Notamacropus eugenii: one gene and its partners. The protein of the gene in region 3 purifies or fractionates together with the protein of the main gene of each other region. This does not show direct contact. Links are inferred from orthologs where the notes say so. Each region holds a gene or a part of one and is shown on either strand. Other genes may lie near its edges.

Evidence for each region.
Region 1: the proteins of LARP7 (region 3) and YTHDC2 purify together in Homo sapiens (affinity purification with mass spectrometry; 3 studies listed by BioGRID and IntAct, with this or other methods). This does not show direct contact. The link is inferred for Notamacropus eugenii from reciprocal best matches to the Homo sapiens genes LARP7 and YTHDC2.
Region 2: the proteins of LARP7 (region 3) and YBX3 purify together in Homo sapiens (affinity purification with mass spectrometry; 3 studies listed by BioGRID and IntAct, with this or other methods). This does not show direct contact. The link is inferred for Notamacropus eugenii from reciprocal best matches to the Homo sapiens genes LARP7 and YBX3.
Region 4: the proteins of LARP7 (region 3) and NAT10 purify together in Homo sapiens (affinity purification with mass spectrometry; 3 studies listed by BioGRID and IntAct, with this or other methods). This does not show direct contact. The link is inferred for Notamacropus eugenii from reciprocal best matches to the Homo sapiens genes LARP7 and NAT10.

Annotation. Positions count from the first base shown.
Region 1 is NC_092874.1:347,280,653-347,288,146, forward strand, and holds the start of YTHDC2 (3'-5' RNA helicase YTHDC2), read left to right. Parts: upstream 1-4,478; 5' UTR 4,479-4,724; coding exon 4,725-4,932; intron 4,933-7,062; coding exon 7,063-7,153; intron 7,154-7,494. UniProt on the Homo sapiens protein: 3'-5' RNA helicase that plays a key role in the male and female germline by promoting transition from mitotic to meiotic divisions in stem cells.
Region 2 is NC_092874.1:199,786,133-199,793,452, reverse strand, and holds the start of YBX3 (Y-box-binding protein 3), read right to left. Parts: upstream 3,005-7,320; 5' UTR 2,752-3,004; coding exon 2,526-2,751; intron 2,390-2,525; exon of another isoform or gene 2,274-2,389; intron 1,938-2,273; exon of another isoform or gene 1,878-1,937; coding exon of another isoform or gene 1,793-1,877; intron 1-1,792. UniProt on the Homo sapiens protein: Binds to the GM-CSF promoter. Seems to act as a repressor. Also binds to full-length mRNA and to short RNA sequences containing the consensus site 5'-UCCAUCA-3'. May have a role in translation repression.
Region 3 is NC_092878.1:117,255,340-117,262,319, forward strand, and holds the start of LARP7 (la-related protein 7), read right to left. Parts: upstream 3,008-6,980; 5' UTR 2,845-3,007; intron 1-2,844. UniProt on the Homo sapiens protein: RNA-binding protein that specifically binds distinct small nuclear RNA (snRNAs) and regulates their processing and function.
Region 4 is NC_092877.1:17,332,533-17,340,475, forward strand, and holds the start of NAT10 (RNA cytidine acetyltransferase), read right to left. Parts: upstream 3,021-7,943; 5' UTR 2,893-3,020; exon of another isoform or gene 2,572-2,892; intron 2,073-2,571; 5' UTR 2,059-2,072; coding exon 1,951-2,058; intron 708-1,950; coding exon 616-707; intron 1-615. Other genes in the region: CAPRIN1 (caprin-1), read right to left, coding at 6,539-6,603. UniProt on the Homo sapiens protein: RNA cytidine acetyltransferase that catalyzes the formation of N(4)-acetylcytidine (ac4C) modification on mRNAs, 18S rRNA and tRNAs.

The DNA of each region.
Region 1 (7,494 bases), on a different chromosome or scaffold from region 3:
TCAACTGAATATCTGGTTCAATAAATTGTTTCTTAGAGAAAAGTAGTTTGCTTTGCTGAGGTTCTAAGCAACAGATCTTTTTTTAATGGCAAGGCAACCATTCTTTTAATTGAGGAGAATCACAATAATGTAGCTCTAAAGCACAAAAAATATAGCAAAGGCATCTTTCTCAATTTTTATCCTCTATTGTTGGCTCCATCGTTTAATTCTAATAGAGTACATAGCATTTCTTCTTCAGTGTTTCCAGAATTCCTCCTATAGGCAATAATGTGACATGAAGTGGAAGACCATAAAAATGTTTGGTGAAGTTCCTGAAGAAATTGTATGAGAGCTAATGTGGTGTTTTTTCTCTGCCTACATCTTTCCTTTACATGCACATCATCTATATCATCAACTGAGTACTATATACACACAAAGATTGTAAAGCCAATAAGGTCCATCACATTTATTTGCCTCCTGGTATCTCCCTGATTTCTATGACTAATACATTTTATTCACTGAAATATCAATTATCTTTTTCTAGGAAAATGTTTTAGCAGAAGGCAACATTTCATTCAAAGTAATTGAAAGAGAAACCTCACTTCATTTGACTATAATAACTACTAAAGTAAGAAAACTTATGAGGAATATTATGATATATTTAATTTAAACATTGGATTGTTTTCTTGGCTAGGTGTATTAATTCCTTTATGTCACTTGTTCTGTTTCCAAATATTTTGGTTTTATTCCCTTTATAAATTTAAATGTGTCATAAATTGGAGAAGGTCTCCACTGAGAATTTGTAGAATATCTTCCAAAACCTTAATGAAAGTGTCAGTATACCATTTCTTTGTCTTGAAATAAACTATGCCATTTATTGAGAAAAATATAAACCTCAAAGGGAAAGTGAGGAGGAACTTGTGCTTTACATGCAATTACTTGTTTCTGGATATTCAGACCACTGCATGCTGCCATCATTGTTTTCACATCCTGTCTGTCTATTCTTCTTATAATAATGTAGTCTATTAAATGCCAATGCTTTCTGTGAGGGTGCATCCATGAAGTTTTAGCAGATTCTATTCCAGTTGAGATTTACAAAGTGGGGGTGGGGCATCCATTGCTTATACAAAAGCTGACTGAAGTTTTCTGGGTTATATGCCAAGAAGAGGTTAACCCCCAGTAATGCAAGAGTAACTCCATTGTCCCCTTCTATAATATAAAGGAAATAAATTGCCCTGTGACAATCACAGGGAGGTCTCTCTCTTCATCATTGTTGGCAAGATTCTTGCCAGAGTCCTCCTTAATAGGCTGATTCTTTGCCTGGAAGATGGTCCTCTACCTGAGAGCCAACATGGCATCAGAAAGGGCTGGGGAATGACTGATCTGGTTTTTAATGCCAACAACTCCAGGAGAAATGCCAAGAGCAGAACAGATATCTGTATACAACATTTGGCAAGCTGACCAAGGCTTTTGATACTGTCAGTGTGAAGGTTTATAGAAAATTATGTCAATATTTAGTTTCCCAGAGAAGTTCATCAATATTGTACATCATTTTCATGATAGCATGTTTGCTTGGGTTCTGGATAATGGATAATGGTGCTTCTGCTTTCCCAGTCACCAGTGGAATGAAACAAGACTGTTTGTTTGCTCCCATGCTTTTTGACATGTTTTCAGTAATGTTGTCAAACACCTTCAATGAGGATGAACATGGCATCAAGGTCAGCTACCACACTGATAGTAAATTATTCAACTGAAAAGTCTAGAAGCCAAGACTAAAGTAGAGGGACGGTTGGTGCATGATGTTCACAGACAATTCTGTACTCAATACAGCCTCTGAAGCTGAGATACAATGAAGTATGGATCAATTCTCTGCTGCTTGCACCAATTTTGACCTAAAAGTTGACCTGAAGAACTTTGGAATAGATTGTGTGACATGGGAGATACTGGCACAGAACAGCCCAGTATAGTGTGCCCTCATCAAAGAAGGTACTGTGCTCTGTAAGCAAAGTAGAATAGAAGTAAGTCATAGTAACACATGAGATGCACAAAATTTAGAGAATTCATGTCACATGTTCACATGCACTATTTTTGCCTGAACTATGGTAGATAGTGATGTAACTTCAATCCTCTTCAAGAATGAAGGACAACAACCAACCAAGTAACAAAGTTCCCACTCAGCTTTGGTGTTTTCAGAAATGCTTAAAAGTCCTTCATTCCATTAAAGATCCATTCCTCCCTGATTATACTCGGCTTTGTAGGGTGTGCTATCATTAGCTATAAGCCTATTATCTTTTGCCTTTTATAGTAATTTTACTCCAAGAACTCTTCTCATTTTTCCATTGAAGCTGTCAGATCTTGTGAAATCCTTACAGTCATTCCATAGTACTTGAACTGTTTCTTTCTAATCACTTGATATATGTCTCTATTTCTGTCTCCAGACATGGGGTACAGCTAGTGCAAAGGCTTGGCGATAGAAGATGGAATGTCATATGTGACTTCAATTTCTCTAGACTGCAGAAGGCAAAAAGATGAATAATGCAAACAAAGCTAGAGAGGTAAGTTAGGGACATATAGTTAAATTCTTTATAATATTTTATTTTTCCCCAATCACATGTTAAATTTTTTAACATCTTTTAAAGTTTTGAGATCCATATTCCATCACTCTCTTCCTCCATCCCCTTCCCTCTCCACAAGACAGTAAGCAATCCAATATAGTTTATATATATTCAATGATGTAAAACATTTCCATATTAGTCATTTTGTACAAGAAAACTCAAATAAAAACATGAAAGAAAATGAAATGCCGCATGTTTCAGTCTGAATTCAGGTGGTATTAGTTCTCTCTCTGGAGGCAGATAGCATGCTTCATCATGAGTCCTTTGGGATTGTCTTGGATTATCATATTGCTGAAAATAGCCATGTCATTCACAGTTTTTCACTGTACAATATTGCTGTTACTGTGTATAACATTCTGCTGGTTCTGCTCACTTTATTTTGCATTAGCTCATGTAAGTCTTTCTAGGTTTTTCTGAAATCATCCTGCTTGTCATTTCCTATAGTACAATAATATTCCATCACAATTATATACCATGGCTTGTTTAGTCATTCCCCAACTGATGGGCAACTTCTTGATTTCCAATTCTTAGACACCACAAAAAGAGCTGCTATAAATATTTTTGTACATGTATATATGTCCTTTTCTGTTTTTTATAAAGATGTCCTTTATAGACCTAGCAATGGTATTGCTGGATCAAAGAGTATGCACAGTTTTATCCCTTTTAGGCATAGTTTCAAATTGCTCTCCAGAATGGTTGGATCAGTTCACAACTCTACCAACTATGCATGTGTCCCACTTTTCCTACATCCCCTCTAATATTTATCATTTTCCTTTTCTGTCATATTAACGAATCTGATAGGTATGAGGTGGTACCTCAGAATTGTTTTAATTTGAATCAATAGTGATTTAGAGCATTTTTTCATATGACTATAGCCTTGTCCTTTGTCTGAAAACTGCTTGCTCATATCCCTTGACAATTTATCAATTGGGGAATGACCCATTCTTACAAAATTGACAAAGTCCTATATACATTTGAGAAAAATGGCCCTTATCAGAGATACTTGTTGCAAAAACATTTCCGTTTTCTGCTTTCCTTCTAATTTTGGTTGCATTACTTGTGTTTGTGCAAAACCTTTTAAACTTTATATAATCAAAACTATCTCTTTTACATTTTATAATGCTCTCTATATTTCCTTCGTTCATAAATTCTTCCCTTATCCATAAATCTGACCAGTAAACCATTCCATGCTCTCCTAATTTGCTTATAGCGTCAGCCTTTATATGTAGACCATGTCCCCATTTGGACTGTATTTTGGTATATGGTGTGAGATGTTGGTCTACACCTAGTTTCTGCCATGCTGTTTTTCCAGCTGCTGCATCAGATTTTGTCCAATAATGAGTCTTTGTTCCAAAAGCTTGGATCTTTGCCTTTATCCTAGGCTAGATTACGGTAGCAATTTACTATCATACAACGCGTACCTCATCTTTCCCACTGATCCACCACTGTATTTCTTAGCCAGGACCAGAATGTTTTGATAATGATTGCTTTATAATCAAGTAAAGTTCTTTAAAAAACCAAACAAAAGAGTCCTGATTCTGAAGACGTTAGAGAACCAAGAGTTTATTGAATAGGGGAATGACTCGGTCACAAGAAGAGGTAAGAGAATCCTTTAAGACTCTCAAGGAAATGTCAGAGGATGAGACCCCCTAGAGGACACTAGAGGAGTCAGGAGAGGAGCCAGGAGGCGCAGTCACTGACCGGGGGCTCTCTGGACTCGTTTCTTTAGCCCCCACTTTCAGGGAGGTGGATCATGCATAAAGCATGCACAGTCTCTACATCCCAGGACCGCTCCCAAGCTCCCCAGCATCCTCGGAGAGCTCCCTTGCCCCTCCCACCCGCCGTGACGAGCTGACGTAAGACTACGTCACGACGCCGCGGCGTCCGGTCTGGGCGGCGCCGAAGTGGCCGAGAGCTGCGGCGCCCCGGCTAACTGTGGCTGGGCACCCTGCGGCTCCCAGGCGTGCGGGGCCCTGTAGTCCCCCGGTTTTCGGTTGCCCCCGGCCCCCGTCCCTCTCCATCTTGGCGCCCCGTAGGCCTCCCCCGAGGCTCGGTCTGGGTCCCGCCTCCCCCCGCCTCGCGCCCCATCCGTCAGTCAGCGTCCCCTCAGCGAGGTCGGCGGCGGCTCCCATGTCCAGGCCGAGCAGCGTCTCCCCGCGGCCGCCGGCCCCGGGCGGCGGGGGCGGGGGCGGCGGCGGCGGCGGGGTGTCCGCTCAGTGCGGCTCGGGCTCCGGCGGCGGCGGCCGGGCCAAGGGGCTGAAGGACATCCGCATCGATGAGGAGGTCAAGATCGCTGTCAACATCGCCCTGGAGCGCTTTCGTTACGGAGACCAGAGGGGTGAGTGCGGCGGGCGTCCGGCCTGGGCGCGGGGCTGGAGGCGGGAGGCCCCGAGGGGGCTGGAGGCGGGCCTTGGACGTGCTTGGGCTCGCGTCCGCGGGGGCTCCGGGGACCTCCGCAAGCTCGGGACCCCTTAGAGGTGGGGGTCACGTAACGGGAAGTCCGGGGGGCACGGCCCGAGGAGGCAGTGCACCGGTCAGATAGCAGCAAGGGGGAATTGGGCAGGATGCACCGCGTCTGTCCAGCTCCGCCCGTTCTACCAAAAGTGTATTTATTTATCATTCGGTGCAGTGAGAAGCCGCGACCTGTCAGGAAGACTAGCGGGGCTCGGACCTTCACCTCTGGGAGCCGGGCTCGTCCCTCGAGTTTTGGTGCCCGTATCTGTCAGGTGTGGAGGTCGTGTGTGGAAAGAGCTGAAGTTTAGGGCTGCCCAAAGGGCGTGAGAGTGCGCCTTCCCTCTGGGAGAGAGCCTCTTGTCTAAAAAAGCCTTTTTATAACTGTGTTCCTTATCATTTTATATATTTTATTTTATGTATTTGAACCGTTATTCTGAGAAAGGGTCCACAGACTTCACCAGACTTCCGTAAGACCCCCCCCCTGTAGAATCTTCCTGTGCAAACAGTCACTTACTCAGAGGTCTTGAACACGTCTGTGCTTCCATCAGTGTAGGGAGCTCTTGATAAGTGTCTCCCCCTTCCAAAGCAGACTTCAGAAAGTAGCCCAGTGCTCTGAGATGACTTGGCCAAGGTCACACAGGCAGAAGGAGGACCAGGACCGGAGCTTGGCCGAGTCCTCCTTTCTCCTCACCTTGTAAAAGGCCCAGCCCAACCAGCCTTGATTTTCCCAGTTGTACCCATGCTTCCCCACCTCACATGCTTCCTTCTCCCCGCTTCATTTCACCTCCTCTTTTAGGTGTTATTAGAATGTCAGCTCCTTGAGGGACTATCCCCTTTTTTTTATATCGCCAGCATTCATATAGTGCTAAACGATAATAAGCACTTAATAAATGCAAACTGTGCAGTAATTCTAAGTAACGCTTTATCTAGGACATGCATGCAACAGTTTTTTTCCTTGAATTATCTCTAACATGACCTCCCCTAGTGACTTGCATTCACTAAATGTTTTGAATTGTCAAAGTATCTAAATGTTTGGGTTGACATTTCTCCATTTTTTAAAATATGAGCCCATGTCAGAAGTTCAAGGAAGAAGAATTTTCCCAGACTTCATAGAACTTAGAATCATAAATTATTAAAATTGGAAGTAAAAAGTGGAAGTACAAATAACTACAGTGCAATATAGAGAATGTGTGTGTATATATCTATCTAGATATATCTATCTATCTATATATACGTATATATGAGAGAGAAAATGCTACAGAGAGAAATGACTACAATGCACTACAGAGAATGAAAGTATAAAGTGTTCCATCAGGTCAGAAAAGGGATTGATTACTTCCAACTAAGGCTGACTTCTTGAAAGAAATAACACTGATTTAGGCCTTGAAAAATAGGTAAAAATTGAAGAGTTGGAGCTAGAGAAGAAGGGCATTGTAGCTGTAGAAACACTGTTTAAAAGGATAGAGATAGGAAACCAATGTGCATGTTTAGAAAGTTAACAGGTAGCTCAAATGAAGCTTCAATTCTGAAAAGACCTTTAGGGTCTCCTGTTGCATCCTGGGCCATCTCCAGTCATCTTGATGAATGTCTGATCATTGGACCCAGAAGACTCAGGAGGAGAAAGTGAGGCTGGTGACCCTGAACAACCCTCCCTCACCCTTAAAACAAAGTCAACTGCAAGTCGTGTCATCATCTCCCTGATGTCATGGTCCTCTTCTGGAACTAAGGACAAACACGACACAACAAATTCTTTTGGACCATATTGGTGGTATACATATAATTGCTTTTTCATTGCCAGGCTTAACATTTGGGTGATGTGTTTGAAGTAATGATATAAGGCCTGACTTAATAGTAAATGCTTATTGAAGTGAATTAATTACTTGTACTTACCATCATGTAAACATAGTAAAGATAAATGAGGTTTCAAGTATATTATTTTAGCCAAAGCTAAATAAAAGAATTTTTTTCTTCCTCATATGTGACCATTTAAAAGAATACATTTTTCTTTCTCTAGAAATGGAATTTCCTTCTTCTTTAACCAGTACTGAAAGAGCTTTTATTCATCGATTAAGTCAGTCTCTTGGTTTGGTCTCTAAAAGCAAAGGGTAAGTTCATTTATCTTTTCTTATCAAAGAGAAATTTCTGGCTACTTTTTATAGTAATATATATCTGTGGAAGGGGGGAGGGAAAGAGAAACACTTCTTTTACTGTGTCTGACTTTTCTGTATACCCATACCCATATTTTCTTCCTGTTTCTTTTATCTCCTTCCCAATTTCTTCTTCCCCAGGGGGAAAAAGGAAGAAAGTAGTTAAATCTTACCTTAAAAGAGAAAGATGGTCTTGACTTGATATCAAAATAGAAATGTTAAAACAGGAAGTGATTTTGTAAATATAGCTAGTTGAATCCCCTTATTTTGCAGATGGGAGAAATAAAACCTGAGAAGTG
Region 2 (7,320 bases), on a different chromosome or scaffold from region 3:
CAATATAAACACAAAACAAGTGCTGGGTAAGTGATTTCAATAACTGAGAAGTCTGGAAATTTCATTTAAGTGAAGTGTTAGAGAAAACAATCAGAACAAAGACTATTTTGTATATGCTATTAAGTCACAATTGAAACAAAATCTTTAATCTGTCCTAAACCTAATAGTGTGGGAATCTATCAAGGTTAGAAAACTACACCAGTCTTAGCAGGCACCTTGCAACTGGCAAAGACCTGTGCTGTCTTTCTACAATGAGTATAAATGCATAAACTATATAGAAATCCCACAGAATCAGGGGCTTATTCAGAATGACAAGCTGAATTCAATGGCTTGAATTAAGTGTATCTATTAACCATTCTTATAATAAAAGATTTAGAGTTGTGGGGTTTTAGCCAATAATCCCTTCATCTGTCTGAGTGAGGGAAAGGAAGCATGAACTCCTGTCTATTAAGAGAAGTTGAGTGAGTTTGAAGACATAAGAAAAGATGCCACAAGTCTGAATCCATCCATCCAAACTGTTTTCAAACCAATTCCCTCAAATATGATGAAGCAGTCCTTAATTTAACTAGCAATCATCTTAACATTCAGATTTAAACATGAAGACTGAGGACAACTAAGATAACAATCTTTTCTCTAGCATCTCATTCACCACTTTCTCCTTTGCAAATACAGTTATTACTAGAGGCTAGATTAGAAACAGAAATTTGTGAACACTTTATTTTCACATTTCTCTTAGAATATTTTGTATTGTAGTTATGGGTTTATTTTATCCCTTTACTAAAGGACATAACATCATGAAGCTTAGGTTACATCTATCATAGCATTATCACTATACTGTTCTGCAGAGTAGATCTAACATGTAGAGGGAAAAAAGGTCCTTACTGCTAGAAAAAAACATTGTAGGTTCAACTTTTTTTTTTCCTACCCTAAACCTAACCCCCTTCTCCAAGTCCAATACACATACACACCTTCCCCATGCCATCTAGGGAAGATCATCTTCACATGAGCCTCCCCTCAAAAAAAGGGTATGTGGGTGTGTATCTGCAGGATTTCCATGTTGATGATTTCACATTTTTTTTTCCACCCAAGTTTTGTTTACCGAAGCTCAGAGGCAGAGAACAAAATGCCCATAGGGGATAAGTTAGGGATACAGGAAAAATACTTATCTAACAAATTCCTAGGACTTATTACCCAGGGACACTTTCTGGCAACCAGGACCCGACACACGCACCTTGCCCCTTCCCCTGCCTCCCCTTTAAGAGACTCCCCCAGATGCCTTCCAGGAGGATAATGAGGCATATTTTAGGCAAATCAAATAGCATCAATTTGAATTACATTCAAGCTTTTTTTTTTCTTGCCTATCCAAAGGGATGTACACTTAACTTTTTAATCAAGCTTTCTTACGCCCAATGGATGTTCACTGGATGCACCATTCGGGGTGCGGGTATACTCATCCACCAATCCTTCACTGTTTACTCAGGTTTTCACCAGTTCCACCCCACCCCCACTAACAGCTCCAGAAGCCAGGTCAGAAAAGTGAAGTATCAGGGGAGTGGCATATGTTTTTCTACACCGGCATCTCACACCCACAGACTAACTTTTGAGTTTAAAAGAGTGAATGACAGCACATACACACCCTTTAGTCATCTTATTCGCCACCCACACACAAGCATACACACCTTAGTACAGCCCTAAACACCGTCAACAGAGGGTAACGAGAGGGGAGGAGGGGGAGCACCATGTGGCCAAGTCTTTAAAGGATTTCTATTCCCGTCCAACCGCCAGCTCTCACCCGTTTTCCTGCCAGACATTCCAGGATAAAGCTGACTACCATCCACATTAACAGGGCTTTGTGTGGCAGCAGTTGTGACACACATGCGGGTCCTAAAGCGGAGGGCTGGGAGCCCAATCGGCTGGGTTAGCCGGGGGGATTCTCACTGTGGGGGAGGGCCAAGAACAGAAGATGGGAAGCCTCGTGTCAGCGAGTTAGGAAGGACTCTCCGACAGGAAAGCAACACCCCTCGGTCGCTAAGATGCGTGGCTCGGACGAGGAGAAGAAATGGCGCCTATCCCACGAGGGAAAGGGCGACCAGGGCCCGACACACGCACCTTGCCCTCCCCCAGCTGCCCTCCAGGACAAGCGCGCTCGGCGCTCCCCACGGGAAGGTGGGCTTCGAGCCCCTTCCCCGGCTTTTCCCTCCCTCACAAGCCCCTCCACGAGGCTTCCTCCCTCCTCTCTAGGGGTAGGACTGGGGCCGACCGGAGCCCACAACCTGAACCTGGCTGGGGGCGCGGATGGAGCAGAGCATGTGGACCGCTCGGGGTGCGCGCCCCTGGGGCTGGGGAGGGGGCGGACGCTCGTCACGCACGCACGCACACAGCCGCGCACCCACACGTGCGCACACTCACACGCGCGGAGCCCGGCTGGGCAGCACGTGCTCGCGGCTCGGCTCCGCACTCCTGCGGACCGCCCACGTGGAGCCGCGACCCCGGTGCCCCACGCGCCCGGGGCTACGGGCTCTCACCGAGAACTTTCTTCTCCGGGTCTTCCGTGGTTGCGGAGGCGGCGGCCGGGCCGGGGGCCGGGGCGGGGGCCGCGTCGCCGCCGGGGTGGCTCCCCTGGACGGCGGCGGCCGGGCTGGCGGCCGCGGGGGCGCCGCTGCTCGCCGGGCTCTTGGGCGCGGGTTCCGGGGCCGCCGCCGGGGCCGCCGGGGCCTGGGGCTGGGGGGTGGGATCGCCCGCCTCGCTCATGCCGCCGTCCGTCGCTCTTCTCTCGGCCACCCGCGGCGGTTGGTCGGCGGTTGGTGGTGGTGGTGGTGGTGCCGGCAGCGGGGCTGCGGCGGCTGCTGGAGATGTCGGGGGAGGCAGCCCGGGGCTCGGAGACGGGGCCGGTTTCGCGTCAGCCGTGGACGCGGGGATGTTGCCAGCGGCGGCTGGAGCTGTCGGGGCGGCGCGCGCACTCGATCTTACTGCCCGGAAAATGGCCCGCTCAAGTTTTTCTAGGTGCTCGGGAGAGGGGGGGGGGGGGGGGGGGGAGGGGGAGGGAAGAGGCGGGCCGGGCGGGGCGGGGCGGGGCGGGGGGGGGGCCGAGGAGGGAGGAGAAGCTCGGGCTCTCTGGCTGCCGGCCCTGGTGAGCCCTCATTAGCATTTAAAGGGGCCGCCCAGGGCCCTGGGGGAAGCATCGTCTCCCTCCTGGACGGGACTCCTGCTAGAGTTCTGAGTCTTGGTCGAGGCTACCGCTTGACCCCAAGCCCGAGAACTTCTCGTCTCCTTTCTAAGCGTGGGCTGCTCGCAGGGACGGGCGAGGTCGAAGAGCCGCAGTCCCCAGCGCTGGAGGGTGTGTGGGGAGGGGGACCTCGGAGCTCATCTAGGCCAAACCGCAGGATTTGAATTCCCTTCCCTGCGTCCCAACGGGATGCAATCAGACCCGAGCTGTCCTCCCTCCCAGCACACACACGCACATTGATAATGTTGCCGCTTTGTAGATCTAACTCCTTGAGATTTGGATTGAGATCCTTCGATTTCGACTCTTTTCTGTTAAAGCACTTGATAAGTTTGGGGGATAAAATACAACTGGAGAAACTGAGTTCCAGAGAGACTGAGTGGTTTGCCCATCAAAGTCCTTAGTAGAGGAAGTAGAGCCGCTCCATGACTCAGTACCGGGCCCCTTGCCTCCACTATTCCATTACTGGAAGTGAGGAGGTAAGAGGAGTGACTGTGCTTGCACTCAGGACACCAGCGCCCTGGCCACATAGACTACCTCTTTTAAGATGTTTTCTGAAAGATCCTCAAACGGTCCAGTTTCACAGGATCTTAGTATTAGGAATTTAGAAATCAGGCACTTTCAAGGAAAATTTCAAGGACATGACACTAACTGGAATCCGAGGATTTCTGCTCAGATCCCACCTCTGACATTTGCTACATTCTTAGTCGTGGACAAGTCGCTTAATTCATCTGTAAATTGGGGCGCACACACACACACACACACACTCACTCTATTGCTGCTTTGTAGACTGCTGTTTTTCTTTGCTAGATCTAACTCCTTGGGATTTGGATTTACATCCTTCCATTTCTACTCTTCTATTAAAGCACTTGATAAGTGTTGGGGATAAAATACAATGAATGGATTAAACCTTAAAAAATTATCATGTATGGAACAACAATGTTTCAGAAAGCATGAAAAGCTCACTCAGGATCACTAGTTTGGGTACACAAAGAGTTCGGTCCTTAGAGATCCTAGCCCCATAAATAAAAGTGGAGCTCTTCTCCAATCCCAGCACATTACAACCCCCCACTCTGGATCCCTGTGGAAAGTCTCTTAAATCTTAGGGGTTTTCATGTCTGTCTATGGTTTTCCCCAAAATGAATTTTAAGGATGCAAAGTAGACCAGGAATAAGCTATTCCCTCCACAAGAAGAAATCCTCAAAACACAGAAGATACAAGCGTATGTTAACAAAGCATGAAACAGTAATTCCTTTTACACCATCCTGAAACACTGAAACATGATACACTTGGTGGTCTTGCCTGCCAAGCAAGCATTTCATTTCCACCTTGAATCTGCACTGTCTGAGCAGCTCATACTAGGTTTGTATCTTCTGGTGGACCATAGCAAGGCTTGGGCTTAATTTCCTGTCAGTAATCATCCTCTCCAAGGAGCATCATAGTAGCTGCAGAAGACAGCTGGACAAGCAGCACCCAGCTCCTACTGACTTCTCAAACTCACAAGGCTGCTGCCAAGGGGAAGAAAAAGCCATATGTCTAAATCACTTTTCAGTCACCTGGACTCGGGGCAATAAAAACAAAGAAGAGTCAAGTACTGGAGGTGTAGGCTCAAGTTCATCAGAGAAAACATGCTCTCACTGCCATGTATGAGCAGCCACTGATGTGCAATCCTCCTTCCTTTCTTCCCACCACTTTGCTGGAAGTCTGAGAGAGTTGCACACACAGAGTTACTTGACAAATGACAGAAAGACTTTTCCTTTTGAAGTCTATTTAGTGAATTATCTTTCCTGGGCATGTGACTTATTCTCCCAGTTCTGGATTTTTTTTTTTTCCCTTTTTGGAGGAAAGGTTACCAAAACCCCTTGGTTTTATGTATCCATTAGCAAAGGATTGCCTCCTCTGCCCTATATCTCCCATGCTCCAATGGGACCATCCCCTTCTTGATGGTATATAATTAAATGGTAAATTGCAGTACAAGTGTTACAAGTATATAGAGAAGAAACGGCACTGTGAGTACCTGAAGTCAGAGGAAAGCCCTTGAACAATGAGTAAAATTTATGAATGAGGGGAAAGTATTGAGTCAGAAGACCTAGATAATATCCCCAGTTCTGCCACCTATTAAACCAATAACTCTGTTTTCCTGAATCTCAGTTTACTCATCTGTAAAATGGGAATAATAATTATACTACCTGTGTGGCAGACTCATGAGGAGAGGGCTTTTTAAAGTGTTATATAAGTGTGGGTTGTAGGTTGTTGAGTAGTATGAAAGAGGGAGGGAGTGTATGTAACATGATCTAAGGCACAGAGGGAGGAGTAGGCATGACTTGTTTGTGGGACAGTGAGGAGTCTTGCCTGGGGGAGGGGAAGGAGATAGAGAAACGTGTTGAACAGTAGTGAGAAATAAAGTTGGACTGACAGAGTAAGGCACTTCAAAAGAATTTATACTCGATGAACTGCAATGCCACAAAGATTTATAGTTTAAAGAGAACTGTGCTGTCTTGGGGGGGAAGTGGAATAGAGTTTAGGCAAAAACCAGTCCCTGCCTTCAGAAAGATTATAGTCTGTAGATAGAGTTATAACACACAATTAAATGACAATAATTGAGAGTTTCAAAACAAAGGACATTGGACATTAGAAATTGTGAATCAAGATACTCTCCAAGCTAGTCATCCTCATTAAATCCAGGAAGAGAAAGCTAGCTACTTTTCTGGAATTAATTTTGGGAACTAATTGCAAACTTTGAAGCCTTCTCCAGTTTCTTTGATTCATTTATCCAGAACAAAACTAATTCACACATTTCTTCCTACCTACCACTCCCAAATAGCTTTGGCTCTAATGTCATTTTGGTGGCTGAAGAAACTGCTTAGGGTGGATAACAGAATTTACTAACTATAAAAGATAAGAACCGGTGGAGAAGCTGGAAGTCCAGCCATCTTTATCTTCAACTGTGTTTTCCACTTTGCCTGGGGAAAATATGCTAAAATATCCTGCTTAAAGGTCTCCCACGAAACCCCAAAAGACTTGAATCCTTTAAAATGATAAATTTCTCCCAATCAACAAGTATTTGTTAAGGCTTACTATAAGCCAGGCGAAGCACTAAACTCTAGGGATACAAGACAAATTGAAATGGTCTCTGCTCTTTTGGAGTTTAGAATTTAGGTTGAGGAGAGAGGGACATCAAATGCACATATAAGTATATAGATACATATTAAAAATGAATAGAAAGTGTTTTGGGGAGTAATAATACCAAATTGCCTTCATCATGAGTCTGTTGGTTTTGCATGTACTGGAACTATTCTCTCTTTTATCCTATTCTTGTATTCTAAGATAACAAAAAGTAAAATATATTTATAGAAAACGAATCAGAAACACAAAAAATGTAAAAGGAACTCTCTTCTACGTGTAATACTACTGATCATACCTATGTTATGTATAATAGATATAATAATACCTATTATGATCTAACGTTTGTTAGATCATAACCTCCTGACACGCAAGTCATGTTTTAGCTTAGCTGCTGTGTAGGGAATAAAGCTACAGTAGAGAAAGCACTGGGCTTAGCATCAGGATGACTCATCTTCCTGAGTTCAAATCTACCCTCAGACTCTTCTTAGCTGTGGTAGGACTCTGGTAAATCATTTAACCCTATTTGCCTAGGTTCCTTATCTGTAAGATGAACTAGACAAGGAAATGGCAAATGACTCCAGTATCTTTGCCAAGAAAACCCCAAATTAGGTCAGAAAGAGTTGGACACAACTGAAATCCCTGAACAACAATAGCTACTAGCATTTACGTAGTGCTTTAAGGTTTGCACAGAACTTTGCAAATATTATCTCATTTGATCCTTATAACAACCCTGGCAGGCAAGTGAATACTACAATATCTTCCTATAAAAACTTGATAAATATTATTCTGATTTTAAGTTTGATTAACTATAATCAGGCTACTGGAGACTGGCCAATATTCATTGGCCTTCTGGTCCAAAGAGGTAATTATTGTTGTTTAATATTGACAAGCATTTGTTCTGCATGAGACATGTTTGACCAGGGAAATGGAAGACCAAATTCGTTTACAAGCCAAAGCCTTTCCTTCAGAAA
Region 3 (6,980 bases):
ACTTTTTGAAAGTCATGCTGCTATTAAGTAGCAAACAGAAAAAAGACAGGACAATTCTACGTGGTAAGCATAAAGACAGGTACTGACCTGTTATGCTCTCATAACTGTAAGAATATTTCTTAAAACATATTTATATGGAAATATGTTTTGCATGAGTGCACATGTATAACCTATATTGAATTGCTTACTGTCTTAGGGAAAGAGGAGGGGGGAAGTGGGAGAGAGAACCTAGAAATCAAAATTTTAAAAAGCTAATAAAAACTGTTTTTACATGTAATTGGGAAAAATATTATTTTAAAAAATCCATATACCGATGATGAAGTCTACCTTCAACTTGAAAGAACAAGTCTAAGAAATCAAAAGGTACAGTAATCTATTTTTAAAATGATATACAGATATGCTATCTTTTTCTACAAAGGAATGTCACATTTCCTTTATATCATTGACAGCAGACAAATTGGCAGTACCACTTTCCCTTGTGGTATGGGCCCTCAAGTTCCTATTCTTTCAGCTTCCAGTATATTCCAATATATGCACAGCTCAACAAAAGTGTTGTCTCTGACAACATATTAGTTATTTCCACTTAGGAAATTAATGACTCTTTAAAAAAAAATCTTGCTACACTGTCCCTTATATCTCATCCACTAATCTATTTTATTGGAGTTAGGTGAATTTTTATTTATAGTTTGTATTTTATTTATATTTTAATTTTTTTATTATAGCTAAAACGAATTTACTTGGGGACTATCTCAGTGACATCTTTTTTCAACAATACAAATGCTCTGGACCATTTTACTTTTCAGAAAGAAGTAAAAAAATAAGAGAAATGGAATTTTAGTAATTTTTGTGTCTCACCAGTATACCAGGCAAACCCTGCTTTATTCCTTCAAGGATCTGTAATTAACTGTATGGGTATATTAATGCACATCATGGCCTTTGTGCTTAGACCTTCCTGAGTAGCAAGGTATGAAAAATTCAACATTCTACAGTCAAGCTGGGGATGAATCTGTCCGAATGTGACTAGGCTACGTCTCAGATAAGAAAAGGATCCATCACCAATCTCATACTTAAAGTTTTTGTAGCTCGGAAGGCAAAACAACTGAGCCTGAGTTGTTCAGTGCCTTAGCTGGGCAAGTAACAGACCCAGGATGAATAAAAACAGCAGTCAGCACCTGTGTAATGCTTAGTATGTACGAAACACTTTACAAATATCCCATTTCTCACAACAACTCTAGGAGGTAGATGCTCTTGTTACCTCCATTTTACATATGAGGAAACTGAGGCAAGCAGAAGTTGAGTGACTTGCCCAAGATCCCATCGGCACTAAATGAAGTCACATTTGAACTTGTAGAGCAGTGAGATGCCAGGCCTGGATTCAGGAAAACTCATCTTCCTGAGTGCAGATCTCTTTTTTGCCTTTCTTTCCTTTTTTTTTTCCTGTAAAATGAGCAGGAGCAGGAAATGGCAAATCACTCCAGTATCTTTGCCAAGGAAACCCCAAATGGGATCATGAGTCAGACATGACTGAAAGAAACCAGACTGAACAACTTCTTGCCCAGTGCAAAGTAATGGAGCTGGGAATAATAATAATATATAGTGTTTAATACGAATCAAGCCTTTTACAAATGTTATTTTAATCTTGCACAACAACCCTGCTAGGCAGGTGCTATTATTATTTTGATTTTACAGAGGAGGAGACTGAGGTAAAAGGTACTTGAGTGACTTTTGGAAGGTCACACAGCTAGTAACTTGTCTGAGGCCACATTTGAATTCAAGTCTTCCAGACCTAGAGCTCTATGCAGCTGCCCCCCAAGTCTCCTGACTTCAATACTTTTATTACAACTTCATGTCCATTACATCAACTAAGTGTTTGCTGATTTAATGGCAAATTAAACCTACAGAATGCTAAGTGTCTGAAACAGGTGTCATGAAATCTCGTGGACTGATTAAGGGCAAATTAAAGGGAGGCAAGTCCAGTCACCCAGCATTTGGTATAAACCTTAAGGTTTATATTGTGCCAGGCATCATGGTAAGCCCTGGGAATGCAAAGAAAGGAAAAAAAAAGAGTCCTGTACTGTTCTACATAGACACACACCAATATATACACACATATACATGCGTGTACACACAAATATACACGTATATGCACATGCGCATGCACACACCACATTCATATATACACATATACAGAACTATATACACACATGCGCATACATACACAAATGTACACAAATACACGTATGTGCCTACACACACGCATGTATATGCACATGTACCCACACACATATGTACAGTTAAACACAGGACCGACCACCTGGAGGGAAGCACCGAGGGGAAGGCACCCAGCACACAGACCCAGCCAGGTTTCGGGTCCAAAGTGGGAGGAGGGCGGAGCCTTGAAGGCAGCCAGGAGGCCAGGATGAAGGCGGGCGGGGCAGGAGCCCAATAAAAGCGAAAGGGATTAACTGCACAGGACCTGGCACACAGGTGGCGCTTAATAAATGCGTGCTGAAAGATTAGGCGGTAAATGAAACCCAGGGAATGCACAGAGCCTGGTCAAGGTCCGTGCTCGCTGAATATTTATAGATAGACTAGGGAGATGGGCGTGTCTTCGGGGATCAGACCCCGCCCCCCCAGACTGCGAGGGGGCGGGGACGCCCGGCCCCCGTCTGCGCATGCGACCTGACAAACGGCAGGAGGAGGGGGTCTGAGGGGAAGTGTAGGGGGGTTAGAGGAAGGTAATTGGGAAGATGCGGGAAGGGAAGTCTACCGGAATAATAAAGCAGATCGGGGCCTGACCCTCGCGGGACATCCCGCGTGGGGCGTCTCGACCTCTCCACTTACTCAGTTCAGTCCCCCAGGCAACGGGTCCAGACGCGGCGAGTTTCCGAAACCGTCGCCTCCTCCCCGCTCTTCCCAGTTGCTGGGCCTCGCGCGTCACGCGCTCTGCGACCGGAGGCGTCGCTCCGAGAGCGCGCGCGCCAGGACCGGAAGAAGCCGCGCGATTGGTGGATTCGGAGGGCGGGGGCGGGGCACGCGAGCGGCTGCGCGGGGCCTCGTCGCGGAGCAGCGCGTCATCGGCCTGCGCGGGAAAAATTCGAAACTCGAGGCTTGCTGCCGAGCCAGGTGATCCCCCTCCAGAACGTCCTCGGTGTGTTTGTGTTGGGGGGAGTGCTGTGTGTGTATCTGTGTGTTGTGTGTGTTCAGTCTTTGTGACTGTTACGTGTGTGGTGTCCGTGTGTGGCGTGTGTACGTGTTATCTGCGTGTGGGTATCTTTGTGTGAATTATTTATGTGTGTTGTGTCTGTGTTACATGCCTGTGAGTATGTGTGCATTGTTTGTGTCTTGTGTGTGTGTTGTGTGCACGTGAGTATCTGTGTATTGTTTGTGTCTTGTGTGTGTGTTGTGTGCACGTGAGTATCTGCGTGTATTGTTTGTGTCTTGTGTGTGTTGTGTGCACGTGAGTATCTGCGTCTATTGTTTGTGTCTTGTGTGTGTGTTGTGTGCACGTGAGTATCTCTGTGTCTTGTGTGTGTGTGTTGTGTGCACGTGAATATCTGTGTATTGTTTGTGTCTTGTGTGTGTGTTGTGTGCACGTGAGTATCTGCGTGTATTGTTTGTGTCTTGTGTGTGTGTTGTGTGCACGTGAGTATCTGTGTATTGTTTGTGTCTTGTGTGTGTGTTGTGTGCACGTGAGTATCTGCGTGTATTGTTTGTGTCTTGTGTGTGTGTTGTGTGCACGTGAGTATCTGTGTGCATTGTTTGTGTCTTGTGTGTGTGTTGTGTGCACGTGAATATCTGCGTGTATTGTTTGTGTCTTGTGTGTGTGTTGTGTGCACGTGAGTATCTGTGTATTGTTTGTGTCTTGTGTGTGTGTTGTGTGCACGTGAGTATCTGCGTGTATTGTTTGTGTCTTGTGTGTGTGTTGTGTGCACGTGAGTATCTGTGTGCATTGTTTGTGTCTTGTGTGTGTGTTGTGTGCACGTGAATATCTGCGTGTATTGTTTGTGTCTGTGTGTAGCTGTGTTTGAGTGTATTGTTTGTGTCTTGTGTGTGTTGTGTGCATATATCTGTGTGTTGTTTGTGACTGTTTGGGTGTCTGGGTGTACTGTATTTCAGTGTTGTTGCGGGTGGGTTCACTGCAGGGTCTTGGGGGGGGTGAATTCTGTGAAGAAGTATTGGTCTTGGTGCTTGGCCATCTCCATTGTGTCTGATTCTTCATGACCCCATTTGGGATTTTTCTTAGCAAAGATTCTGGCGTGGTTTGCCATTTCCTTCCACAGCTCATTTTATACATGAGGAAATTGAGGCAAACAGGGTTAAGTGTCTTGTCCAGGGTCACACAGCTAGTAAGTGTCTCAGGAAGATGAGTCTTCCTGACTCCCAGCCCGGCAATCCATCCACTGTGCCACCTAGCTACCCTATAAGTGATAATAAAAGGAGTTAACACAGAAGCTTTGCAAATTTTATAAGCACTACGTGAATAGCCACAAATTCTGACTGCTATAAATTGGGAGGCAATCAGTCAAAAAACATTTATTAAACACCTACCAAATGCCTGGCACCATTCTAAGCCCTGGGGATATAAAAAGAGACAAAAGATGGTCCCCACCCTCAAGCTTACAACTGAATGGCACTGCCACTTGAAGGAAACCCGAGAGTTAGGGGGTAGAGACTACAAGGGGTGGGGGATAAGCCAAAGAGAATCTCAACTCTTCTGCTTATTACCTGTGTGATCACTATTCTGCTCATCAGTTTTCTCATCTCTGTAGTAAGGGTATTTTAGACTGTATTGACACCTGGGGTCCCCCTCCACCCAACTTCTGTGCTTTGAGATCCTTAAGGGACTAAGGCAGAAGTCAATCCTGAAGGACTTAGAGAAACTAATGTATCTTCTTGATGATGTGGAGACAGGAACGAACAATCTTAAGACTTCATCTGGGTCTGTGGTTCTTCAAATGTGTTTGTTCTGTGGATTTAGGTTTGAGTAAACCCTGGGCACGTCACTTAACCTGGCTTAGTTGGTGGAGTACTGGGCCTCGAGTCAAGAAAGCCTGAGTTCAGACATTTACCAGCTGTGTGACACAGGGAAAGTCACTTAACCTCTGTTTGCCTTGATCTACCAGAGATGGAAATGGCAAACGACCCAAGGATACCCTAAATGGAGTCAGAAAGAATTGGATGCAACTGAACAACAACAAAAGATCCTTTAGAGAGGGGGTTCACCTGTTTTGGGTCATGGTCCCCTTTGGTAGGTCTGGTGTGATAGAGCACCTCTCAGGTGAATGTTGGGTTTTTTTAACCTACGTTCAAATGGAAGGAAAAGATAAATTTCAGATAGAGTTTAGTGAAAATAAAAATGTAATTTTCTTCCCTGGCAGAGCTAAGGGACCCCATGAAAATATGCCCACAGATGCCTATTGTCCTGGACCAGATTTTCTTAACTTTTTTATGTGTCATGGACTCCCTTGGCAATATGTCAAAATCTAAGGACCCCTTCTCAGAGTATTGGGCTTGTATGCATAAAATCTAATCCATCGGATGACAAAAGAAACCGATTACATTGAAATACAATTATTAACATAAAAAAAAAAAACTTCACAGACCCAGGTTAAAAAACTATTGCTATAGGGCAGGATGCAAAAAAAAAAAAAATCTTGAAAACTCAAACCCCTAAAACACCCAGAACAGTTGTTGTTCAGTTGTGTTTGGGGTTTTCTTGGCCAAGATACTGGAGAGGTTTGCCATTTCCTTTTCTAGCTCATTCTACAGAAGAGAAGCTAAGGTAAATAGTCTTAAGTGACTTTCCCATCATCACAGAGCTGGGAAATGTCCAAGGCCACATTAGAAAAGTCTTCCTGACCCTGTGCTTGGTGCTCTGTCCACTGCGCCACCTAGCTGATGATTAGCAGCGATTTTACAAGAACTAGTAAATGGATATCTGGTCTTTGTGAAGTACGGAGCCTTTGACAACATATTTGTAAATACATGTCAGAATGTAAATGTCTTGCAAGTAGATCTTTCGTTCTTTACTTGTATCTCCAGTGCTCAATACATTGTTTAGCACATAGTAGTCATTGATTGAGCAAACATGTCAATCAACCAAATCAATCATTAAATCAATTGAATTAGACAAATGTTGATTGATTGAAAATAAACCATGCAGCAAGAGAGAACTGGTCCATTTTCAATCTAATCTCCCTCTCCAAAGCATTTTACTTAAATAATCACAAATAGATCTCTTCCCAAACAATCCTCAATCCAGAAAATTCTTCCTCAAATATAGAATTTTATTTAAATTCCTTATAGCTGACCTGTGTTTGGAATCAGTTTCTACTAGTTCAGCCCTATAGACATAGATGTGAGGAAGTGAAGAACCCCTACTCTGTTAGCAGAGCTGTAACCCTGAGTCGTGAAAGCCTGTGGAGGCTGAGAGTTCTGGCAGGTTCCAAGTAAGGGCCCAGTAACAGATTATTTTTAGAGGACTAGCCTGTATATAAAAAAGAAAAATTCATATGTGTACATCAGTAGGTTGGGCATTTGGTTTTAAGTTCTTTGGTTATAACAATCCTTTAAATATCCCCATTTCTGAATCTTTGCTTAATGATAAAATAATCTTGTTCTATTAGCCTTTCTGCGTAAAATCATAGAATTTTAGAATTTGAACTCCTCTTTAAAACATGTCCTAGAAATGAATTGACTGTTACAGGGAACGCGAGAAAAAAACCCACCATACTTTCTATATGGAATGTAGGAAATCCACCATTTACGATTTAGGCCTCGCCCCAGAACACAGAAACCTATTTAATGTGTCAGTTAATAGTGGCTTTGCAAGAGTGCTTTCTGCTACAGGATTTACCGATGTATGACTGCAGCTACACATCGTATTCAAAACACTGGGGAGCCACCCTGTGGTGATTCTGAGGCAATTCAGAAAAGGCGGCTCCTCTTTCCCCAGCTCATGCCTAGGCTGGGAGACA
Region 4 (7,943 bases), on a different chromosome or scaffold from region 3:
AGAAGCCGGCACCTATGGAGCGTGCGGAAGGTGGCACAGCCCCCAACCTGATGCTCTCAATGGCTGTGGGCACCCCCATTTTACATAAGGGAGGGTGCAATCTGCCCAGGTCACCACCTACTGAGCAGAATCTGAGCTCAGACACCTGCCATGCTTGTAACCGTGGGCAGGGTTACCTGGGCACAGCTTGCCTCAGTTCTGTCCACGGAAAGTGGGGATGATAACAGCATCTATCTCCTGAGGCTTCTGGTGAGGCTCACATGAGGCATGCTACTTGCGAAGCACCCTATAAGCACTAGCTACTGTTGTTCTTCTAATGGTTGGAAGGAGTGGGAAACCTGCAGCCTGAAGGTCACATGGGGCCTCTAGGTCCTTGCATGCTGCTATTGTATTGAGTCCAGGTTTTACAGAACAAATCCTTTTAGGAAGAGGATTTATTCAGTGAAGTGTGGATTCAGACAAAGGGCCACACTTGAGGACCTAGAGGCCACATGCAGCCTTGAATTCTCCACTTCTGCAACCTGGAAAATTGGGAGGGGGACTGCACCAGGCAACCTCGGAGGCGCTGGGCCTACGAAGATATTATAAGGATTAGAGAAAAGGGGTCAAACTCACCTGCTGAAGCCTAGCTCCTTTTTATAACACCACAACACAGACGGCCGGGCCCTCACAGCCGCTTTTGACAACATATGATGGAGTATGACCACCTGCCAGAGGGAGGAGACGGCACAGGATCAGGATGGGAAACGGAATGAGACCATTTATGCCAGGGAGGGGAGGGAACTCCTGAAGAAGCAACCATCCATCAACTGACAAGCTTTCATTATGCACCTAGTACCCGTGAGGCACCGCTGCTTGGCAGATACAGAAAGAGACAGAAGACCACTCCTGCCCCTAAGGAGCTCACCACATAAAGACAAAACAGAGGAACGTGTGTTAGTGATAATGAGTATAACGGTGAGCCTCCGGAAACGCAGGAGGCAGAGGAGAAATCTGGAGATTAAGATTTCAGTTGTAAAGGCATCTAAATTCACCTGCTCTGTCCCCGTGCCTGGAATGTTCTCCCTCCTCACCTTCTTTTAGGGCTTTTCCCCAGAAGCCTTGTCTGATTCCGCTCCCCCCCCCCATTAGTCTGTATTTATATCTCCCCACAGAATGTCTCAGAGAGCAAGGACGGTGATCCTCCCCGGTGCCTGGCACACAGTAGGCAGGCCGTTAACAGATGGTGGAGTGATGCCTCTTCAGAGGGAAGGCTTCCCCCAGCACACAGTGATTCAGTCAGAAGCCTGAAGAGAGCCCAAAGCTACTGAAACAGGGGCCACCGAGCTGGAGGCTAGGCTGGGAGGGGAGGAGAACCTGGCCAGCCTCAGTTCTGTCACCTACACAACCAGGGCTCCGGGATCAACGATCTCTAAGGTCCCTTCCAGCCTTAGGGAGCCAAGGGGAACTGAGGCATTCTGTCCTCACTCGGAGAAGGGATCAGAAGCCAGCCCCCCCCCAGCCCCATCCTCCCACCTGGCCCGTCAGACACAGGGCTTGTCCAGGACCCCGGGGGGTTCCCGGGGACAGTCCCCCCCCCATCCTCCCACCCGGCCCGTCACCCACAGGGCTTGTCCAGGACCCCGGGGTTCCCGGGGTCAGTCCCCCCCCCATCCTCCCACCCGGCCCGTCACCCACAGGGCTTGTCCAGGACCCCGGGGTTCCCGGGGTCAGTCCCCCCCCCATCCTCCCACCCGGCCCGTCACCCACAGGGCTTGTCCAGGACCCCGGGGTTCCCGGGGTCAGTCCCCCCCCATCCTCCCACCTGGCCCGTCAGACACAGGGCTTGTCCAGGACCCCGGGGGGTTCCCGGGGTCAGTCGCCCCCCCATCCTCCCACCCGGCCCGTCACCCACAGGGCTTGTCCAGGACCCCGGGGTTCCCGGGGTCAGTCCTCCCGGCCAGGGCTCACCTGGTCCTTCCCACGGTCGCCCACCAGGACGAAGAGCGAGCGCTGCCGCTGGGCCACGCCGTTCTCGATGAGGACTCGGATGCGGTTGTCCACCTTCTTCCTCTGCATGGCGAAGGAGGGCCCTGAGGACGAAACGGGCACACGGGGGAAACTGAGTCAGCCCCCCACAAGGGCCGGCCGGACCTCCCGGCCCTGGCACCGACCCAAGGTGGGCAGCTTCGGAAACAAGGGGGCGCTTATGGCAAGGAGTAAAGACCCCCCCAAACAAACCCCAACAGCCCGGGAGTGTCTGTCATCTGCCTCCCTTACAGATGGGGAAACTGAGGCAGGGCAAGGGGGGGCTTGGAAACACCGGGCCCAAGGGGGCTGGGGTGGGGGTGTTACGAAGCACCCGCCCGCAATCGCTGGGACGCGCCCGGGGTCAGGGGTGGGCGGCAGGGTGGCATCACAGGCTAGCTCACAGGAGCAGGGGCTGGAACAGCAAGGCCGCGCCGTCCTCCCTTACTTTACAGGAGCGGAGGCCGAGGCGGGCGGGGGTCACGGCTCCAAGGCCGACAGATCCCCTAGAGGACACGCCCACGGACGCTCCGGTCCCCCCCGCACTCCGCCCGACCCCGTTACCTCCCGGGCGAGCACAGCCTGCGAGAAGCCGCTTGGGGTGGGCCAGCCGGAAGCACGTGGAGCTTACCGCTCGTGCGCAGGCGCCACGAGGAAGGCCCCCGGGCCCTCGGCAGAGGTGGTCACGGAGGCGGCCTAGAGCGAAGGCGCGCAGGCCACGCCTCTTATGTCCTCGTGAGCAGGCGCGCTCGGGCGGCCCCGACGGGGACCTACCAGGATCGCGTCGCCCTCCAGTGACGTCACCCCCCAGTATCGGCGGGGCCCCACGAGAATTCCTCCGCAGAGCTCGGTGTCCCGAAAGCCTTCTCCGGTCTGGCGTCCTACCTTTCCCTTTTTTTGCGCCGACTCAGTCTCGCGCTCGAAGACCACCGGGATTTTTAGCCTTCCTTCCCAGTATTCCTCTCTGCTCAAACAGGGACGGTGGATTTCCTCCCACCTCCAGGCCTTTGCATTCGCCGTCCCCGGGGTCCCGTCCGAGGAAGCCGCAGCCCCGCTTCTGGGGGTCCCCAGGGGAACTTCCTGGCAGCCCGCGTGGTGGCTCCTAACCACCGCTCCCCCGCCCCAGGTCTCCCCGGGTTCACGACTCGCACCAGGCCCGCCCGTGACACCGAGCTGGTTCCGTGCATTCCCCTCCCTGCTCCCGAGTCCGGGCCACAAACAGTCGGACTCATTGAGCACCGGAACCCCAACCTGCCACCCCCCGCGTCAGGACAGAAGGCCGACACTGCACATGGTCGGCTCGCACAGCCGAGGGAGGGGAGCCGTGGCCCCTAAACAAGGGTGTTTCTTGCCCCCCACTCCTCCGTCTTCGTCCCTCAGGTCCCCACGGACCGCCTCCTGCACCCGCTCAGCAAGTTTTCAGTAACAACTTGTGCTAACGAGCTCCAGAGAGACAGTTTCCAAGGAAGTGCAAGCCTCTTGGCAACATTGTAGCACGCACAACAGGGACACACGCAAGCTTCGGAAGCTCCTGACTGCTGAGCTGTTGGGAGGACATTCAACCACGAGTTACTAGTCAAGTCTCCAGATTCTTTGAGGGATACAAAGTTAGTCCTGACCAAGGTATGTCAACGACACTTTTCAACCACGCTAAATAAAACAGATGCTCCACCACCCAGTCAGAGGACTTGTTTAGTGCACATCCATAATCTATACCAATTCCGGATTCACCAGGACATCACTGACTTTGTAATACACGTTTTCCTGCTGTAAAAACGGAGCTGCCTAAAGATGACTTTTCCATTGTTGTTGGTGAAGAGAACAGACCCAAGTGGGTGCAGACTGACGTGAAAAACTCAACAGATTTGTTAGGGCAATGCGACCACAACATGTAAACATTTAAACCAATTCCTGCTAGACAATTTCTGCAATTATGAATATGCAAGCTATACTTCAACAATGATCTTGGAGTTCAGAGGACCTTACAATCAAAATGGGCCAAACAACGCATTTTCTTAGGCAAAGTAGTCATTGTATACGCACGTTCAACATAGGCTTTTCCTTTGACAGAACCTGACAGACCTCATAGTTGGTGTAGCCTTTAAAAACACAAGGTCACCACCATGCCATGATGAGGCATCTACTTAAAACACCATGCTTAATAAAAATAGCCTTGCTTTTAAATACAGACCTTAATGAAGCTTAAAAATTTCTAATGACATGAATTGGTTATGTGGGGGAAAAAAAAACTGTGTTTTTAAGTGCAACAGGTCGTCTCTTCCCCGCCCTCCCTCCCCCAAAAAGAAAAGCTGTACATTTGCTGGTGCACATACATGCATGTGTATCTGACAGACCTCAGAGTCCTGATACCATCCCTGGGGGAAGACAGCACTATTTCATCATGTTAAATGCCCTAAATATTATTTAAAACAAACCCTGTGAAGGCACCTTCTATACAAGCAGCAAGTTTTTTCCATAGGAATGTTAGCTATCATGTTACTAATAAAATCCACTATATTTATCAGCACTTATATATGGTTGTGGTACATCCTTGCCAGATATGATTTAATTAGGGGAGAAAACTGGCCAAGAAGCCTTCTTGCTTATCAAAGTAAACAGATAACCCTTCCAATAAGATGTACCACAACCAAAAATGAGAAAAGACAGGAACTTATTTTATTTTAAAATAAACATTAAAGACACCCCCCCGCCCTTCAACCCCAGCCCCTTTACAAAACTTCTGAATGTGGAATGTTCTCAAGAGTCCTTCAATAGCCTATCATTTTAGTAGATTACAAGGTCAGCAAAAGTCCAGTTTTCTAACAATGAGTGTTTTAAGAATGGTTTCAAAAATTAAAGCAACTGAAAACCTACTCGTCAAATTACTGAGCTGAAGGCTGAAAACAAAATCCAGTTTCTGGACTACAAGTATCATTAACTTAGCAGCCTTTGCTTAATACATGGGATTAATTCAACAGGAAGCCAAAGTGGGATGCAACAGCAAGCAGCAGAGAAGTCCACAGGCACGTCGAAGTACAGCTAGCACTCCAACTGCACACAGGAGATCCAACATAGCATGAGAGAGGCTAAGTCACTACTGCACTGGGCACCCCCAGGAAACCTGGGGGGATTCCTCATGTAACGGAAGAGATCACTATTGTGGGCAAGACCAAAGCCTTGAAGAAGAACCGAACTCCATTCATGTGGGTAATTCAAGAGAAAGCAGTAAATGCAGGTACACAACAAAAGCTGTAGGAAAACCTCAGTGGAACAGGAGATAACTGAAACTTCAGAGACAATGAACAACTCTATGATCTCAACTGCGTATGTCAGCTGCTCAACACCAGTGTTCCAGGATACAATTTTTATAAACACGTTTTATTTGTTTTAATTATACCATTAGAACTGAAACTGCTGGCTGTCATTTCCCTTAAAAGGGGAAATCGATCCAAACACATCCTGGTGCTTTTCAAAAGATAGCGATTTTAAAGGGCGGCAGCGGCAGGCGTTTGATATCCTTTTCTTTTAAAAACCTTCAGGCTGCAGAGAGAGACATGTGACCCAAAGTGTTATGTTTATCCATTAGAGATTTCCATCAGTACCTGTACCAATTACTTAGATGACAATACAGCAAGGTCAAGTATTAGTGACAGACAATGTGCATGTCATAAGGAATGATAAATATATAGTACCAATCCTTACAAAAGTCATTGCTATCAAAGAAACTGTTAAATGTGTTCCAAAAGGTATCTAAATACTTCACATTAAATACAGAAGCGGCCATCCAGATTACATCCCATATTTGTTGCAGATTTTTTTAAAGTGCCAATCAAAGCCTAATTTTGCATTTTGGCTTTGTCTTGTACAATATCAGCTGTTACAAAGCAATTTATGTGTATATATTTTTAACCACAGTAGTTTGGCCTGGTGATGAATAGTGCTGTATCAAAAGTAGTCAGCCTTATTTGTGTAATTAGGGACCCATGCATCTTTAGTATGCATCTAAACGTTCATCGCTCCAATTTAAACCAGAAAAAGCGGTGAAATGCAGTCGCTCTGCCAAACCACACTCCACTCTTTCCATCTTCCTTTCATGGGAAATATTTTAGTTTTTGTCAATTACCATCAAAACAACAACTCTAGGGCTGATTTGCTGATTTTTATCCAATGCCAAAAATGAGTCAATCTTGCTTTTTTTCCAAGCCACTTCAATTATAACCATGGAGACCTGATCACCCCAAAAGTGTGTGTGTTTTGCTTTGCTCCTAAGCAAGGGTGAGGAATCTGAGTATCATGTGCAAGGCTCAAGATGACGCTTAGGACAGAACATGCAGAGTAAAGATCGTTTCCTTCCATATCCAGGTAACATAAAGCTGACAACTCTAGTCCTGTCTTTATGGGGTGAAAACAGTCCCTTTACCAATGAGTTTCCTGAAAGGGAGAACAAATAGATAATAACTCTTCTGGTAACATGTTATGGGACACTGGCCAGTGTGTTTTTGGCGTTTTAAACGTAATCCTGTGAACCAGTTTAATTCACTTGCTGAGTGTTCATTGGCGGCATCCCTCGGTTGGGTCTTGGGGGCCCTCCACGACCTGTAGAACAGAACAAAACAGGCTTTTAGGTCTTCTCACACACTGGTATTTCAATTTCTCTTTCAAGACAAAATCCCAAAAGATAGACACAGGCATGAAATGCCAGGCCTCAAAAGCCTTTCTCCATGTATTGAAGATTTCTTCTTTTACAGATTTCCCTGTGCATGTTTACTCAAATCTCTTCAGCTCAACTGATCATTGATATTCATTGTTCATTCCAAAAAAAACAAAAACAAAGCAAATACTTTCCAATATAAACACCAAAAGGAAAAGAGAGTAACTTTTAAGAAGAAAATGCACAGCATTCACTTAAAAGTAGGATTGGGTGGCTGTGCAACAAGGCTACAAACCTAGGTTCTGTCCTATTACAATCAGGACCAGGATTGTTTTAACTCGAGTTCCTTTCATTTGTTTAGCTAACTAGCTCCTAGTTATTAAACACCCCAAGACAAGAGAAAAGAAAATAAGCCTGATGCAAATATTGAATACCCTGTGGCATACTCACCCATCTGTCATGGCTACCCCACTAATTCTCAACTCATCTCTTCTTTACAAAAGATGTTTATAATGGAACTGAACATTTTCACCAATGACTACGCTACTCTTCCCAACATACTTGGCACACATCAGTCAGACTGTACTATGGTCACCTTTTCTGCCTCAAGGCTCTTGCTCTCATTTTCATCCAGAACAATCCCCCAAAGACCAAATGCAAACAGCTGTGTTCTCTGAAGCCTTCCCCTACCACCAAGCTGGAAAGTGATCCTGGGGCACAGCCCTCTCATCACCCACTCACTTGTAAACTCCCTTTCAGAAGGTCTCTCAGAGAGAAGGGCAGACTTTAAAGTGGAAGCCCAGTGTTCAAATCCTCACTTTGTCATGTAACAGTAAAGACTGATATTTATGCAAGACTTGTTAAGGTTTGCCCAGTACATTACAGACCTCTCATTTTAAGGTCATCATAATGTCAATACCTACTATGATAGGCAATTCTTTCATTTTAAAATGAAGAAAAATGAGGCTCAGTGACATTAAGTGACAAGTCACTCAAGAGTGACAGGACCCAGAATTCCACACCAGGTCCTCCTCATTGTAAGACCAGCTCTCTAGTCACTCCACATGACCACTGTGCTTCTCAATAGCTGTATTTCTATGGATGAGACATTGAGCCTCCAGGGTCTCTAAAAAAAGGAAAAAATGACCCTGTATTGCCTACCCCTCACGGGGAGGATGTAAGGAAAATTATTCACTAGTCTTAAATTACTATGAACTTGCCTGTACTATTCATGAAACCGGTAGATTTATATGCAGTGGGTAACTTAAACAAAGTTAAACTACTA